Schizosaccharomyces pombe: one gene and its partners. Changing the gene in region 3 together with the main gene of any one other region gives a genetic interaction. Each region holds a gene or a part of one and is shown on either strand. Other genes may lie near its edges.

Region 1 (2,729 bases), on a different chromosome or scaffold from region 3:
AAATTTATTAGCAATTAAGTATATTGGAGGTCTATACAACGCTGTTTACTTGATGGGTTTAAAAAAAAACTTGCTTGCATTTGTAGAAAATGAAAAAGATGACTTATTTGTCGCAAAAATTTTTTTATTAGCATATTCATCTTCCAAAAATCGAAAGAAAATTGTTCCAGTGGACGTTTGGGATGCCATGATTGACTCTTTATACGAAACAATAAATGTCGAGGAGACAAAAAAAGAAACTTACAAGTTTACTCGAAGCATAAAAACTGTGATTCCTAATAAATTAATATCTAACGAGTCAATTTCAATATTATCTATTCCTGAATCAGAAAAGACTATATACCAAAATTTTGATTTATATGTTTCAAAGTTTAACGTCGCCAGGAAAGAGTTATCCGAAAAAGAACTTTTCAATAATTCTTTTTCTTCTTCATTTAATACGTTGCTCGCTAGCTTGTTGGTTAAGCCAACCTTATGTCTGATTTCTTATTTAATGATTGCAAAAAAAATGGTTGTATTACAGGAGGCAAACCGCTTATTTCTTAAATCATTTGCCCATCCATTCCATTTGGAACGATACCATCTACATGCTGTAGCTGCAATGGGTGGTCTGTATCAAATTATGTCTTCTACTCATCTGAAAAATTTGTTTTTCTGTTCCAGGAAAGGAATCGCTCTGACAAAATTACATAGTCAGCAATACAATGAATCAACGTTGTTTCAATACTTGTCAGAATTTGTTCATCAGCGACAAAAGTCGCTTACACCGAAACAGAGAATCGCTATACAAGAACTTATTTTAAAATTTATGCAAAGAAATTTTGAAAATAGCCTTTACCACCAATCATTCAGTTCGCACTGGTTTATATCTCGACTATTGATCAACCCGATTCGAATGCTCTGTTGGCATATTACAGATGTGGGGAAAACGCTGGATCTCGGAGAAGCAGAGAAGTTACTAAAATATAATCACAAACAATGTCCGTACATAATTTACCCATCAAGCTTAAAGGCAGTGCAAAAGTTAGGTGGATTACAGTGTATCATTAGGAATGATAATTTGAGCCATATATTCAATTGTTCAAGGAAATATATCAGAGTACAAAGATATTCTGACGATGATTTATCAGAATCCAGTCTTCTACCGCGGTTGGTTAATTTACTTTTGTTTTTTGAAAATTCAATGGGGGAGGTTGCATGGAACAAACTTAGTCAAACGTTAATGGATATGTTTGAAAAGGAGACAAAGAGCAATTCTTTGAGTGATTATTAAAGCAAAGACATCAATTAATTATCTATCTTAATTAGATGCGCAATAAAAAAAAAAAAATAATATTTCCCTAAAGAAAGACAATCAAAAACGAACTGCTTAAAATAGAGGTTTAACTCCCTTGTTTAATAACCCATAAGTTAAGTGTACTAAGGTGCAATTACTAAATGTTCCAAGCAAACGTATGTTAAAGATGTAAACTAAATAGTTGGATCTGATTTGGTCAATAATTAATCGCATTTTCTTAATAGCTGAAAACTCGGATTTTAAAAGAAATTATTTTATTCTAATTTATTATAATGACAATAGCTGTTTTAATTTTACGAAGATTGCTATATCCTTAACCCCATATTGCTTATTCTGCTTACAGTATTGTTTTTAAATTTTAGTGAATAATAAAAGAAGAGAGTCGCTAAATAATTTAATATTTGATTATGTCTGTGTTATAATGCTTTAGCGTAATTTAGCAACAAAAACAGTCACCTGAAGTTGAGGTACTTTTGACATTTACACCTTTCCAGCACCATAGGAAAATTGTAATATCCGTTTTTTTTTTCACAATGCATTTGATGTATTATTTAAATGATGAGGGAAAGCGTGTTTATACTTTAAAAAAGGTATCTCCAGATGGAAGAGTCACAAAATCTTCGCATCCTGCTCGTTTCTCTCCTGACGATAAATATTCTCGACAACGTTATACTCTGAAAAAACGGTTTCATGTACTACTTACTCAATTGCGTAAGTATTTCTATTAAATTAATTGGTATAATGATAGTGTTCTAACGATTAGCTGCAAAACCTTACTGAGCAAATAAGAAAACGTCGAAAAATTTTCGCCTTTAGAAGGGAGCTACATAAGTATGGTTTTGGTTAAATAATCAATAGTTTTGATTTTTCTTTGGTTATGTGAGTAGTGTGCTCAATTGAAAAAAAAATATATTTCAACTTGAGTTGATTTTCCGATGTTTATTGCGAAGCATTATTTGTTTGGCATTTGCATTTATTATCTATTAAACTACAAAGAATAAATCCCTGGTGTATACATAAAATCTTTTAGTAAATGCTAAACAGTTACTGAGAATGTAAAATAACGATAAAAGTAGTAACATACTAGTGGTAATTCTGAATGAAAAACGAAACAACATTTTTTTAACCAATTTGTGAAAAGAAATAATAAAAAAATAAAACAGATGTAAAAAGCCAAGTATCTATTCAAACAGACTCTTTGAACATACAAAACTTAGGATAGTTCAAATTTCTCCATTTCAATTCTTAAAACGGAGATATGCCGCTCAAGCATAATCCTCAAGGAGATTTCAAGTCTAAAATGAGTCAAATATTTTGACATCCGTACCTTCAAAGATGCCTGGCCCTTCTCTTTTATGACTGTCTAAATCGCATGAGACTTGCCAGGCGAATAGACGAGCAAAATTTGCCAATTGTTGTCTCCATTCCTTTG
Region 2 (3,761 bases), 660 kb from region 3:
ACGATAAGTAAGTTAAGATGAAATAAAGGGGAAGATAACAAGGAACGGAATATAAAAGAGCATTTCGAACCGAATGAAACATTTTAAGCCGAATGTATTGAAATCGAAATATTTGAATTGAGAGATTTTTATTTTATCTGACTAATGATGAGAAAGGATAGAAGAGAACAAATAGAATAGAAATAGAACTAAAGATAAAAAATATGAGAACCAAAATAGCAAAACAAAAAAAGCTAAATACTAGGTAATTAATAAAAAAAAATTTAAAAAAGGATTTCTAGTAAGCGTACTACTAAAACAAGTTTAAGGATTTGATGAAAGATTGTATGTTAGAAAAATTTTCATCCTCTTTTTTTTTTTTTTTTTCTTCAAACTTCATACAAACGTAAATATCTCTCAAATTTTGCAATACCGTCCTCTTCTTCCTCGTCGATTTAGATCCGAAATTCTCCTTGGCAGCAGGGGACGGAAAATGAAATAAAGTGTTTTAGCAATTGGGATCGCGAAACCACCTGCTAGAAAGTGTTTAGGAAGAGAGTCGCCGTTCGAAACATAGCGATAACGAGTTCAAGAGCAGTATCCGTAAATTCAGAGGATTAGTGAGTGCCAACACTTCTTATAGATTACGGATAGTAAGCAGTAGTAGATGAAGGATGATGGATAGGTGGATGATCGGGGTGGGAGAAAGTAGGGAGACAGAAGGAAAATGGAATGTAGCTAACTGATAATGAAGAGAGAGAGAGAAAGATTATTTCGTAGATAAAATTTGGTGAGCTTTGACAAGATAAGTTTTGTTGGAAAAATTATGAAAGTATGCAAGAGTGTGAAGAGTAAACAAAAAAGAAAAAGAGACGTTATAAGAGGAAGGATGAGTTTGATGATCTTTTAATATCTAACGAACATAAAAAACTAATGAATGTAATAATTAATAAATGAAGCAAACTAGCGAATGCAACACCACCTATTGATTGCTTTATTTATTTATTTTTTTGCTTGACAAATACCCTTTGGATTTACTCACTATCCATCTTATCCACCGTAGGGGCCATAGTAGACTCGCCTTTCGGCAGCCTTAAAAACGCTACCCTATGTTTCGGGTTTAGGGTGTGAATACGCTATCCATCTAAGGGTCCGTTCGTTTATCACACCCAAATCTTGATGTCGAGGATCTCAGTCTTCAACGTCACCATCTGAAAATTTACTCTTGTTGGGTTGTTTCGCCCGACAAGACTAGACCTAGCAATGACAAGCAAAGTAGAGAAAGTAAAGTAAAGAAAACAATAGAAAAGAAATCAACAAAAAAGCAAGAGTAGAAAAGAGTATTAGCCGTTTCTAAGATTTTGAGCAGCGACTCTCTACAATGTTTACACTGTTTACATTGTAGGAATAGTCGCTTGCAATGAATAGCTGCATCGCTACTAGAACTATTGCATGTGAAACAGTAAATACCAGACTAGAAAGATGAGAAGACCACTAGAGAAGAAGGACTAGAGGAGAAAAGGGACTAGAGGAAAAAAGGAACTAGAGAAAAAGGACCAGAGAAAAAATGATTAGATGAGTAAGTGAGTTAGAAAAAAAACAATTAACCACAAAAAAAAATAAATAAAAAATAAAAATAAAACAATCAAGAGCATGCCTTATTTGTCAGCAACCTTCCTTTATTAGACAGCGTCAACACATCTCAATACAAAATCTTCATCTCACTTCCTCCTATACTTCAACACAGCATCTTCCACCTTGTCTTTTTGCTTGCCCCGCTGCCGCCCTTCAAGCTCGTCGGTACTTGTTCTCATATTCGGTTTTACCTCGGATGCTGTTACCTCGATACCAGGTTGGGTCACCTAATTTTCTTGCAAAAGTCCGTTATCCCAAGTTGTCCCAAGTTGTTCGGTCTTGCTAATTAAGGGGATCATCACCCTATCTTGACCCGTTTAACGCAAGATAACACAGAATCTTTAAGACTAAAAATTGATGCCAACTTGATATAAAACGTGCTTCGTTCGCTCTTTTTTCTCTTCCAGCTCGCCTCTTCAAGCACTTGATCCAATTACGACACGAGAAGAAGGATAGGAACCAGCGTAACTGGGAACAACTAGCAACTATTACGAGCAATATCTTTTAAAGTCCTTAGACACTCTTGTTTACTCACTGCTATCCCATACTCATACTGCTGCTTGCCCAGTACTATTTGTTACTGAAGAGTGTTGTTGATATTGCCATTCCTACCGCTACTACAACCACCACAGTACCACCACCGCTTTTTTTACGCATCCTTTCCCCATCTCAAACGTACGGGATAATTCTCTCAAAGCGTGGAATCAAACCCTTTGTTTTAATTGTTTTTTACTCGTTCACCTGCTATTTGGTGGGCTGTCTGACTTTTGTTTTCTCATTGGCTAGTTGGATTGTTGGACAAGGTTGTCTTATCATTGCATCGATATACCTCATTTCCACCCGTTGATTGATCAACCCTTGTAAACTTAGCCTTTGTTTGCTATAGAAACGGCTTAGTCACTTGTCGTTCTTATTTTGGAAATCGTTCTGTCTTTTCCCTATATCGCCTACTTCACGTTACTGTTAGTTTTGATTGAGCGAAGCAGTTTTAACGATACGAATCAAATTGAATTGAATTTTTTTATTCACAATCCCAATCATCGTCTTATTTTTTTTTAAACCACCATCAATCTTCCTTCTTACAATCCAAGTGGTTTTGCTTTAACTTGGACTTTGTGGTTATTATTGGTTTTTTGTATTTATAATAATTTTAGGATTTCGGGTTTACCTTTTTTTGTTGATATAATATATATCTTTTTACTTAGAAAAAGAAAAGAAAGGAATATATACATTTCCAAAGTGTGAATTACTTGGTTTCCCTCTCTTTACTTGTTTTTGTTGCTACTACTACTACTACTACTTTTGTTGTTCAATTGGTCTTGTCGTCGTTTCTCGGTCTTTCATTTTTACTCAGCATCTTTTTAATTGTCTTTTTTTGGTGACATTTCCTCTCACCTGTACTATCTGCCCCGTTAGCCTATACTATTCGTGTTTAACGTTTTAAATTTTTTCCTTCATTGCATTTGTTGAAGTGCAGTTTATTTGAAGAAAAATTATTTTTGGCTTTGCTTTTTTTTCGCAATCGTCTCTTTCTTTTCAGCTTTAACGTTGTATAAATTAGATTAAACCTTTAAAAAGAGAGAAAAATAGATACCTAAAGACCTTTTGCTTGGCTTGTTTTATTATTTTCACAAAAAAGTTTTTAATATTTTTTTTATCTTTTCTGGTTTTTTTATTCTTATTTTTTATCTTTTCTAATCTTTTTTTTAAACTCTTTGACTTTAACATGGCTCTTAATAGTCAACCCCCTTTGTCCCCCAAACCCGTTCCCTCCAATACCTGGAAGCGGATCGGCATCGATGCATTTGCCGCTACAGCCGCCAGTGCCATGATTTCTCCCTTTATCTTGACGATCGACCGCTCAATCGTCGAAAATACTAGTGGCCGTTCTACTTTATTACGCTCTGTTAGTCGCTCCATCAAATATGTTTTATCAAAGCCAGGCGCCTTCTTTTTTAGCGCTCCCTTTGCCCTGGTCTTTACATTATACTCGGGCACATATATGACGGCCAATTCCATAGACACACTGGATAACATTCGTCACAAGAATCCCGTCTTCAAGGCGGAAACTTCCGGCTGGTTTAAATTCTGTTCTGTCACCGCTGCAAACAGCGGTTTATCCATCTTGAAGGATAGTTTCTTTACCA
Region 3 (3,761 bases):
ATGAAAGAGAACAATTATTACATTGCCAAATATTTTTTTAGTGCTTTTTCACTTTACAAATATCTCACTCTCTACTTTATGGTAGGCTCTCATTTTTGGAATATTTGCCCTGATATATTGCAATATTTCCAAACATCTTCTTAGTTATGATTTCTTGCTTTATTGCTTTAATGTATAAAAAAAATATTTGCTTATTAACCTGTGTTTGAAAACGGAGTTTAGGCACCACTTTACCAACTTCACAATTTATACAGCATTTTGAAGATAATGATAAATTTGTAAACAATAACAAAAAATAAGCTTGTTTGAGATTTTCAAATAACTTAAATTGACCTAGTACTTGTTGTCGTTTAACGTTAAGCTTAATCAATAGCCGAGTAATTAGTAAATGGGACTTGCCGAAAACAACGCTTTTCAACTTAGAAAATTTAGCAAACCCACTCATACCTTTTAATAAGCATGGTCAACGCAGCCATAGTTGTTTCCTCAAATCGTCCAAATGTGCTTGAACAGATTTCCTCCTTGTTTAGAGATGGGAAGACTCGTTCTCTGGGGGAACAGTGGACTTTAGTATCAGGCCAACTTAAAGGAACGTTTGAAGATGCTAAAGACGCTTGTAACCGCATTTCTGCTACTGAGAATGTAGACTGTAATTGCTTGAGTGAAGCAACATTTTCCACTAAAAAGAAGCTTGTAGTATTTGACATGGACTCGACGTTGATTCAACAAGAGTGTATTGACGAGCTCGCGGCAGAAGCAGGCATCCAGAAAGAGGTTGCTACGATTACATCTCTTGCAATGAATGGGGAAATTGACTTTCAAGAATCACTTCGTCGTCGCGTTTCTCTACTACAAGGGTTGAGCGTCGATGTCATAAATAAAGTCATTGGCAAAATTACTTTCACTCCAGGAGCTAAACAGCTTTGTCATTGCCTTAAGCAAATGGGTGCGACTCTTGTTGTCGCTAGTGGTGGATTTGTTCCAATGGCTGAATATGTCAAGGGACAACTGGACTTGGACTATGCATATGCCAATGTACTTGAATTTTCCGATGATGGTAAATTCCTCACTGGAAAAGTTCAAGGTGCAATTGTAGATGGACAACGAAAAGCTTCCATTTTGCGTGAAAAGAGGGAAGAGTTGGGTTTAAATAAGCTCGAAACGATGGCTGTTGGGGACGGAGCTAACGATTTGGTCATGATGGCCGAATCCGGTTTAGGAATTGCGTTCAAAGCTAAACCCAAAGTTCAATTATTGGTATGTTCGAAATTTTTTTACAAATTTATGTTTTTAATGATCTTACTAACTCGATTTTTTTTTTTAATTAGGCTGATTCGAAAATCAATCTTCCATCTTTGCAAAACGCTCTTTACCTCTTGGGTATTGATGAGCAACAACAAAAAAAGCTATTGGAAAACAAAAATTAATTTAGAATTTCCAAGAATTTTTCAATCGCAAGGCGCTGTCAAGAACTCTGAGCTACTGTGGCTTGGTTTTTATAAAGCAATATTTTACTTGTGCGCGTGGTCTTTTTTTCTGTAGTAGGAGCCGTCTTTTATATACCCTACTTCTTTATTTTTGATACTCTTATTTTTCTTTTTCCTTAATTTACAATTTTGGTATGATCAATGCTTCATTGGAAAGGGTGTGCAATGAATGCTTAAAAAAAAAGGGGCAGTTCAGAAGCTTTCTTCTTTAAAACAGACAAGAATTACTCAATTGGTTTTTATAAAGCCGATCATTTACTCTTAAATCTGCTTCGTTATGCTGATAGACTTTGAAATTGATTCGTGCAATGACTACACCTTCGTTTCATAGACCTTTCTTTATTATCATTTATTAATTGTAAATAATACAATTGTATCTAGTTATTAAGAGTTGCAGAAAACATGTGCTTTTGACGTATTTCAACACCGTTTCCCTTGTATATATTCAGAGGTATTCATATACTACTACCCATGCGAGATTCATTATGGCTAAATCACCATTCCTGGAGCTTTCTTACGATATATTGCTAGAAATTAGTACATATCTTGATTATAAAGATATAGTTCATTTGTCAGAAACATGCAAGTCACTTTCGTATGTTTTTGACGACAAAACAATTTGGCATCGATTTTGTGCACGGGTCCAAGGTCTCACCAATGTAGTCCCAGTTGTTGATGATAATTACAAAAGACCCTATGCTGTATGGAAAGACCGAGGATACGCTTACTCATGGGGGCAACAGATAAGAAACTATTTGGGCCGCGTCGTCAATACAAATCAGTATCCTCGAGATCGTCCTGGTGCATTGACTGGGAAGGACGTTCGTTCTACTATTCAGGTTCAAGTTGGGTAAGCGCATAGATACAGGAATTTATTTGACTGCACTACAATGACTAACTATTCCCTATGCGGAATTTAGAGGTTATGGGATGTATTTATTAAATGAAAACGGAAATTTATATGTTACGGGGGTACCAAACAATGTTGGGCCCGAATTGATGAGAGATTTAGAGCCAATTGTGAAAATCCATGCTGGTCGAGAGTTTTGTCTTGCACTCGGTGAGACGGGACACTTGTATCAAGTATCTCTAAAAACACGAATTTGCTTGACAGATGAACAAAATATGCTATCAGCCTATCGCGGAAGAATTGCTAATTTTAAATCAGGTTGGGACTCGCATTCGGCGTATGTGCCGGGCATTGGCTTTCTTGTCTGGCACACTGGACGAGAAAGTGAAGCGCAACTTTTCCAGCCAGAGGCATCGATGAAGGAATTCGTGCTGAACGATTATGTTCACTGCGCAGGATTCCTAGTGTATACTGTCGCATCACCTCAGAAAAAAGGCGCCGTGTTTCGTTTAGACCTGGACCAAGCTACACAACACACGCTAGGAAGAGAATTGAAGAGGTTCGCTTCGCACGACCCCCATCAAGGTTGGCATTTAGCAGGCAGCTTTGAAACTTTCACATGTTTATCGGACGATGGCAATACTGTTTACATGGGTCATGCTAATACCAAGCAGGTCGATGATGACCCGGTTATCCACGACTTTCTCCAGAACCGAGGAATTAAGCAATTGGCGCATGGCGATCATCATCATCTTTACTTAACAAGCGATCATTCCATATGGTCGTGGGGTGTTGAATTACGTTATTGTGGGTGTTTAGGTTTGGGTTCTCTTCATTTGCAAGAACAGACATCTGATCCCAGCATTGTTTCTGATCCACGCACCGCACGCAACATCGTTTCCATTCCACATCAAATTCACTTTTCAGGAACTTGCTATTCAGTTGCAGCCGGCGGATGGCAAAGTGCTGCTCTCGCCATTTCGGAATCTGTTTTACCCGAAGTCAATGTGCCTCCAATTACAACTTTTTCTATCATCCGACCATCCAGAGTTCCAGCGTTGCGCTTTTTAGCTGCCCCTGCGACTCGGACTTTGGAAAGGGACGGCTAGGTGAAATAGTGATCAACTTTGCTTGGTAAGCTAATTTCCGCGTGCGCACTAGAGAAGGATTTTATTTTGTCCGCTAAGTAAGTGAAATAAATAAATATCTCGGCCACCTCGGACTTCCGAATTTATCTCTATTTTTACTAATTCCTCTAGGTAAGCCAATTATAAAAAAAAGCAGCACAAGGAAAACACAACGGTGATTAAATAAGTGAGAAAATTTTTTTTCCTTCTTCCTGTATCGCAATTACATAAAGTACACACATTGACCAATTTATATTCCTGACCCCTGTGAATTAAGTTACTGTGCTACTACGACGA

What was found.
Region 1: mutations in pof9 (region 3) and nop10 together harm fitness more than expected from each alone (negative genetic interaction), as found in Schizosaccharomyces pombe (one large-scale study listed by BioGRID).
Region 2: mutations in pof9 (region 3) and SPOM_SPBC365.16 together harm fitness more than expected from each alone (negative genetic interaction), as found in Schizosaccharomyces pombe (one large-scale study listed by BioGRID).

What each region holds. Positions count from the first base shown.
Region 1 is NC_003424.3:1,634,606-1,637,334, reverse strand, and holds nop10 (snoRNP complex protein), read left to right. Parts: upstream 1-1,830; coding exon 1,831-2,008; exon of another isoform or gene 2,009-2,060; coding exon 2,061-2,077; 3' UTR 2,078-2,224; downstream 2,225-2,729. Other genes in the region: SPOM_SPAP27G11.14C (uncharacterized protein), read left to right, coding at 1-1,273; SPOM_SPAP27G11.12 (uncharacterized protein), read right to left, coding at 2,593-2,729. UniProt on the Schizosaccharomyces pombe protein: Non-catalytic component of the H/ACA small nucleolar ribonucleoprotein (H/ACA snoRNP), which catalyzes pseudouridylation of rRNA and is required for ribosome biogenesis.
Region 2 is NC_003423.3:2,527,648-2,531,408, forward strand, and holds the start of SPOM_SPBC365.16 (uncharacterized protein), read left to right. Parts: upstream 1-2,019; 5' UTR 2,020-3,340; coding exon 3,341-3,761.
Region 3 is NC_003423.3:1,869,875-1,873,635, forward strand, and holds pof9 (F-box protein Pof9), read left to right. Parts: upstream 1-1,958; 5' UTR 1,959-1,972; coding exon 1,973-2,337; exon of another isoform or gene 2,338-2,407; coding exon 2,408-3,446; downstream 3,447-3,761. Other genes in the region: phosphoserine phosphatase Ser2, read left to right, coding at 460-1,257, 1,329-1,427.